Solanum lycopersicum: one gene and its partner. The protein of the gene in region 2 interacts with the protein of the main gene of each other region in a pairwise test. Links are inferred from orthologs where the notes say so. Each region holds a gene or a part of one and is shown on either strand. Other genes may lie near its edges.

Evidence for each region.
Region 1: the proteins of zinc finger CCCH domain-containing protein 29 (region 2) and transcription factor HHO5-like interact in binary tests that used the Arabidopsis thaliana proteins (3 or more experiments, as listed by UniProt). The link is inferred for Solanum lycopersicum from reciprocal best matches to the Arabidopsis thaliana genes CZF1 and AT4G37180.

Annotation. Positions count from the first base shown.
Region 1 is NC_090801.1:68,283,347-68,287,275, reverse strand, and holds the start of transcription factor HHO5-like, read right to left. Parts: upstream 2,451-3,929; 5' UTR 2,214-2,450; coding exon 2,000-2,213; intron 1,902-1,999; coding exon 1,681-1,901; intron 1,600-1,680; coding exon 1,251-1,599; intron 683-1,250; coding exon 606-682; intron 376-605; coding exon 121-375; 3' UTR 1-120.
Region 2 is NC_090804.1:66,046,398-66,050,326, forward strand, and holds the start of zinc finger CCCH domain-containing protein 29, read right to left. Parts: upstream 2,759-3,929; 5' UTR 2,543-2,758; intron 2,008-2,542; 5' UTR 2,002-2,007; coding exon 1-2,001. UniProt on the Arabidopsis thaliana protein: Involved in salt stress response. May positively modulate plant tolerance to salt stress.

The DNA of each region.
Region 1 (3,929 bases), on a different chromosome or scaffold from region 2:
GTCCTACTCACAATGTATTGTAAATCAACAAACAAACATATGTTAATATCAGCAGATTCCCTATTTCCTGTGAAGTTATTTGTTATGTTTTGTTTCTGTCCTATTTCTGTAGCTGCAAAATTAATGGCTACTTGATCTTATAGTTGACCCTTCAATGCTCTTGTGAAGCTGTCCATTCCAATTATAGCTTTCCGATTTATTATCCTCTTCTTCATTCACAGACACCCCTTTGGCTGAACCTGAACCAGTAAAATGAAGTGGCCCTTCAGGAGAACCAGATTGTGTACCATTATTCTTTGAAGACTCCCCATTTTCATCCACAGTAGACCATGAACAACCTGATGCTGGGACTCGTCGCACATGAAGTCTATATTTCTGCATATCACAAAATAAATAGTTTGATCAACACGATGTACAACAAACACTCATTATATTGAAAGAGGTTCAATTGAATCCGTAAAAGCAATTTTTTACATAAATTCATTCACTAGCTCACTCTACAAGATTGCAATATTAAAATTGTTGGCTCCGCCATAATTTCTAACACAAGTATCATGGGAACAAAATATAAGCCTCTTATTTGTTGAAAGACCGTAATAGGATACCTGTAAATGGCTTTTCACTTCGTCATTGGTCAGGCCATCCACTTGCATGATATCTCTGATCTGTTTTGGTGTAGCCACTGCAGGATAACATTTCAAAAATTATTGTTAATGTTTTGTTGGATAATAAAAAGTATATAGAGTGACATATATAATAAAATCCTAGTACAAAAGAAAAAAAAATGATAATGAAATAATAGCATGTTGGTGATGTTAAAAATTGATAACAATATTTTAACCATAGTTGCGGCGACTATTACTAGTAAAAAAGAAAGACTTTTGTAATTGCGAGTCTATTTTTTTTCTCTTATGATCAGAATTAAATGATAAAAAGAAATTAATACTAGAACTAATCGATCCAAAAGCTAGCTCGTCCTGCTCAAGATCATATACAAATTCCTTTTATTAAACAATACATTCTACTCCAACCCGATCCTCACATGGCTAGAAAACAATGAATTGGTACGGATCTGATTTTCATGATAAAGAATAGACGACATTTGCATTTCTAAATGAATGATGTGAGACTCCAACAATAGTAATATTATATTTTAATCAAATACTTTCAGCAATTCAACAAGATTAACTATTCATTTTTCACAAAATAATCAAAGGTGAACGCAAATTAATGCGAACACCGACAATTACCTTGTGGACCTCCAAGTTGATGAAGAGCATCAACAAATCTGCGATGCAATTCTGGAGACCAACAACGCCTCTGTTTCCTCTGTAGTGATTTGTCATGTGAAAAACCATCACACCCATTTGAATTTGATGGGCCGTTCTCTCTTTTGACACTCACATCAATTGGATTTTCACGGTTTTCTCCTTCACCCACTGTCACTGCCATTGACAGAGATAAATCCTTCACTGCCAAACATTTTTTGTCTACCTTCAAAGCTTGTCTTTGAAATGGCAAAAATGCCCCTCTTTCACTCGTCAATTTACATGCTCCTAACTGGTATTGCTTCTCCTTGGCTTTATCTTCTACACCACTCTGATTAATCAACAATGGTATAAAAAAATGTCAAAACGATTTTACAAAAAAAAAAAAAAAAAAAAAGGGGGAAAAACTTACCCGTTTTAAGTTTTGAAGATTAAAGCTTTCATACTGAACTGGAGTGCTCCATAGCTGAGCAGAGCTCATCCAATTTTTCTTATCACTTAAATCATTTGACTTTTTTACCCTTCCAATTTCATCAGAATTACCCTTCTTCAGTGGGATGAATTCCTCCATCATCACAGGGCTTTTATCTTTCTCCTTATACAGCAAAGCTTCTGCCTTTAATCTCTCAATAGCTGCCACAAGAATTAAAAACAAAAAGTAAATAAATAACCCCTAAAAAAATGTAGAAAATTGAAAAAATAGAGAAAAAAATTCAAAAAAAAAAACTAACCATGTTTGAGAAGAAGCATACACAAGGGCAATTCACGTTTAAAAGCTTCGATTTTTGTGAGTTCTTCTTCTAAAGGAACAAGAAACTGATTGAGCTTTTTTAATTTCTTGGAGATGTCATCCATGGCAGAAACTTCAGTTAAAACATCTGAAATTAACTTGGGTACATAAACAAAATTCAAATCAATGTTCATTTCTTTAGAATTTGAACCCATAATTTTTTTTATAAAAAAAAATATATTTAATTGTTGTATCACTTTCTCACATTGCCTAGATAGAATGAATAAAGAAAAGGGTTGAAGAAGTCTTATATTTATAGCACAGTTTCACTTTTCAACGAAAACGAGGGTAAAAGTGGAAAGTTGGATTCTAAAAGCTTCAACAGATTCGATATTGTTTTTCACATTCGGGTCGTCGCATATTTGAGTTAACTCGGAAACACGGTTACTCATATAATCAAGGAATCTGAAAATTCAATTTAATTAATTTATCTTTTTTCTTTATAGGGATATTTTCCTTTTTCTTTTGAGGAAAATTATTAGTTATTTGTCTAATTATATTTGTTCATTATTGATTTTGCAAAAAAAAAAAAATTAACAAACTATAAATAATTAATATATTACTAACTTCATTAATTTTTAGTTGTCATAATTTTTTTTAGAGTCAAACTATTATAGATTTGATTAACATTTTATAATGTAATTTCTCATAATATTGATATGCAAAATTTTACAATTTATAGTATTTTTTTTAATATCTAAAGTTTATTTAAAATATCAAATTAATGTTATAATTTAACTTTAAAGTTAGTTAAATTAATTTTCAAAAAGTGTACATTACAAATAAGTGGACGGAAGGATTACTATATCATCCTTTGAGTAAAATCAATATAATGTTTTGAAAAATGTAATAGAGAAATTACTATAATTAAAAATAAGAGTAATTAAAAACTAAGTGTAATATTATTTAATAATTTCATAAAATGACAAGTATTGTTGGACATCTCAAAATAGATGTGAACACAATTGTTAATATGAAGGGAATGATTTATAGTAGTACTTATATAGTATAGTTTTTCAAAATATATAAATAAAAGCATATATGTAACTTCTTTACAATAATATATTCAGAAAAATTTCATAAGTGAGATCTGACTAAGTCGTTTATGAAAATTTAAGTATTAAGTTTTATTTAATTTAACTTTTAAAATAATTAAATTAACTCTTGAAAAGTAGTATACTTCATCTATACAATTTTATAAATTTCGTTTTAACTTGCACAAAATTTAAGAAATTATCTTTTATAAAAAAAAATGCATTTTTAAACTAATAATATATGATACATATTAACATGCCGTTATTTATTTATTTTTCTTAAACATTCTAGCAAAAAATTAAATAAAATTATCAATTTATTTTTAAAAATAAATAAATTTAGAGAACATAAATTAGACGGGTCAAAGTAAAAAGTGTTTATTTATTTATTGTATTTTTACTTTTCAAAGATTCTGCGTCTTTAGGCGGTCGGCTACGTTTGTTGACTTAAATTCCATTTTCTTGAAATAAGAATGGGATGGAATATTTAGTTGTTTGGACTAAATTGCCCTTGCTTTATGACTTTTTTCTAACATGTTAATTAAAAGAGATTAATCTAATCTGATTCTCTGTTTTTGGAGGTTCACTTTCAACTAATGCCTTAAATGCTAAATCAGTTACAAAAAAAGGTTCACAAAATATAGCCAAAAACAGAACAGTTTTGGATTCTACTTCCACTCCATTAATTTTCTTCTATTGGGACTTTAAACCTCTATTTTTTGTAGGCCATGTTTGGTCTCTCTTTGAAATGTTAAAATTATTATAATATCTTATTAGCATTATATTCACGTCTCAATTGAAAAATATACTCCTGATTTCTCACTCCACACCTCTATT
Region 2 (3,929 bases):
CTCTGAACTGTATAGTCCAGTACCAGTGGAGGACACATCTTTCACCAAGGAATGAACCCACGACACGTCTGGCTCGTTGAGTGGAGAGGGTGTGATTGTTGATCTTGTTGGAGCACCATTTCCACCGCGAAAACCAAAAGATTGAGATCTCTTGAGCTTGTTTGTGTCATCACTGTTGAAGCCCCATTCCAGTTTCCCATCAGGGGAGCCCCAGTCTGATGACATCAAAGGTGGTGAGTTAGCAACACCATTGGGAACAGCACGATGGCCCATTCCACTACGGTCAATAAAACTCTGGCTACGCTTTGCAAAAGCAGCAGACCTCGAGTTCATGACAGCTTGAGCCACTGCTGCTGAGGAGTCGAATCCATAGGTTGAGGGCTTCCTCATCGGAGACGATGATTGAGGAATGTTAGTATAGCTTGATTGAAATTGGTTCATGTTTTGTCGCATCTGTAGCCCGGTTGGAGATTGCATCTGGGAGCCGTTACTTGACACCTTAGGTGAGAGACCTTGCAAATGAGAAACCGATGGAGAGTACAACTGAGAGCTGGTGGTGGATGTAACTCTCGGAGAAAGGCCTTGAAATTGGGACAGCAATTGAGAATCCATGGATCCGAAAACATCATCAAGATTCGTAGGCTTCAAATCTGCCATCCGATTGTCCTTGTTCCAATAAGACGGTGAAGAGAGACCAGCCATCTCATCTATCAATTGCTGTCTTAGTTGCTGCTGCGTGCGGATGCTTTCCAAGCCAAGCATGTCCATGTCCAAGTCCAAGTCCCGAGCGTTTAGAGATGTCTTTAGCCTACTGCCAGGTAGCTGTAATGCAGGTGGGGTGATGTTCGCTTTGTTCTGCCACATGTTTCCACCCATTGGAGACGAACATGTAACAGCAGGAGACATCGGTGGCGTTGAAGTACCAGGCAACAACATGGATGAAGAACCAAGAGCCAGAGGGCTCAATGTTGACATGTCCATCGACCCAACTGGACTAGCCTTTGGAGAAGGGATAGCTGAACCAGTGGACGCATACAAGGGGCGCAGCTCTTCGGGCTTGTGAGCAAAGAAGCAAACTTTCCTTGAGCACCCGGTCTCATCCTTGCAGAGACGGGTTCTATATTGAGCAGGGTGAAGCCATGACTCAAATACACCATGAGCATACTCACAAGAATCATTCTTTGCACAAACGCCTTTCTTGAACTCGGGACATGGAACACAAGTATAGTTATACTTCCTTGGATCGCGTCTCCTCGCGTTCTCCCCTGGATGAACAAAAGGGCATTCAGTCCAGTCATGAGAATAAGCCCTTGAACATGGCTTAACCTTAAAACAATACATCCTGAAATCATCACTCCCATAAATCCCATCATTTATGTCAGGCAAGGAAGTATCGACCGGATACTCTTTCTTCTCGCTACCTTCCTTCGTCATCTGAATTGCTGTTTTTCCTTCTTCCTCCTCCTCCAACTCAGCAAGCTCAGCCAAGCAGCCATTCAACAACAACTCCAGCGATTTCCTTTTCGAATTCCTCAAAGACTTAGGATAAGAAGCAATCACATCACAAGGCCTGTTTCCACTAGAATCACAGACATTAACATCAGCAGAAGCATCAATCAAGATCTTTAAAACCTCGACCGATGATTCCGACCCACCAGCTGCAGCACAGTGAAGAGCAGTTGCACCATCAGAGCCACAAGCCCTGTTGACATCAACCTTACCAGTTCCAACAATATACTTCAAAATCTCAATACTTCCATACATGGAAGCAATCATCAGAGGAGTTCTCTCTTCAAACCCCATCTTTTTTGAACCAAATCTTCTCCCATACCAAAAGCTGAACTCATCAACAGCACAACCTTTCTCAACTTCACATATGAAGCTAGCAAGATCATCTGAAGCTGACAATTCAAGCAATTTTGAACAATTTCTACCATGCCCATCTTTCTTATCCATGTTTAAATCAGAAGGACAAACTTTACTCCTTGAACCAGTACACATCAATTCCTGCAAGTCATCAAAAAGCTTCAGATTTAGATTTACTACTCCATCCAACACATATAAAATCACAAATTCCAAAAGTAACAAACAGTATAAACCTAAATCATTACTATAACTCTTCCTAGATTTACATTTGCTACTAAATCAAACCCATAAAACATCAGAAATACTGAACCAAAAATCCCAACTTTTTTCCCTAAATCCAATGAACCCATCAGAGTAAACCCCACCAAAAGAATAGATCTCATAAAACTTCAACAACATAAAGAAAAAAACACAGAACTAGTCAACAAAAAGTTCCAAAGTTTCAATCTTTTTTCAAAATACTCCATACCCATACACTAAATTAACCATAAAAAGACAAAAACTAGAAACCCATCTCATAACTTCAACTAGTCAACAAGAACTGAAACCCCATCACCAAAAAGTTCCAAACTTTCAATATTTTTCACAAACCCATAAGCATTCTTTACCATAAAATGACAAAAACCCCATACTAGAAGAAACTAAAAGCAATAAAATTTTGAGAACAAAACATTACCTTAGAGATGGATGGATCAAGAAACTTGAAAATCAAGTATTGAATTAGTTGTAAGATTTGGGAGTTGTTATTTGTTTTGAGTAATTTTTTTTTGTGAAGAAATGAGTGAAGGGTTCAGAGGTATATATGAGTTAGAGAAAGGAAAGGAGGAGGAAAGGGTGACTTTTCTTCTTGGTGAGTTCAATTTTTTCTCTCCTCTTTTTAGTGTTAATGGTCAAAGTCAAATCTTCAAAATTTGGTCCACTACATACAATAAAATTATAGATATGGTCACTAATATTTTAGAGTAAGTTCAAAATATACCCTAAAGTTTGTTATGAACATTTTAGTTTTTTAAGTTTGTCAAAAGTTAAAACTTGTTATATTCGTCAAATACAATAACATATTTGAATAACTAGAGGTTGAACAGAGTAAGATGTACGTAGAATTGATACATACTTTTTTTTTTGAGTTAGAGAGGTTGTTCACTTAAAAGAAGTGAAACTAAGACAAAATTGAAAAATTCTAACGATTTAATGAAAAAAATGAAAATAAGGAATTCAGTGAAAATTAATATATCTAAGAGGCAATGTTTTTGCAGATGTTTTTTTTTTTTTTGAGAGTTTGATATAATATTTTAGGTGCAATTTCTAATATTTTTGAGATTTAGTGTAGCTTTTTGTATTCAAAATACCCTATTTGATAAACTTTTCTAGTGGTTTTGATTATGTAGGTTTACATTTCAATTAAATATTTAGCAGATAAAGTTTGTTAAACATTTAGCCAAAACTAAAAGTACTTTTTTCACGTACTTTGATTTGTTTGTTAGTTTGTTTTAAATATAATTTTTTTTGTAAGTTTTTAATTTCAATTTTTAATGTGACATGTATACGACTGTAAAATAAATTTTTTTTATACGTTTCATATATCTTTAATTTAAAATCATAGAATACAATAGTCTTCTATAATTCTTGTATTTTTAGTTAAATCAAAATCAGACAAACAAATTGAAACCGATAAAATAACTTTTAATAATTTAAATGACTTGAATTATTCAAAGAATACTTAAGGGAGTACTTTAAACATTACCATAAAAATAAGGGACAAATTTTGTCATTTTCTCACTATATTACATACCACTTGTGTGTCTTACTGGTTCCCACCTAAATGCAAATGAAAATTTCAAATGCAAATTAAAATGAAATTCAAATTCAAATGCAAATGTAAATTAAAAATGATTGAAATTTTGAGCGCGTCTTAAAAGTGGAACTAATTGCCACGTCAAAGCTCCAATATATCATTACATTCGCCTCCGTTTCATTTTTACTCATTCACTATATTAAATAATATATTAATTTTTATTTATTATTTTAATATAACACAATAAAAATATCAATTATTTATTTTC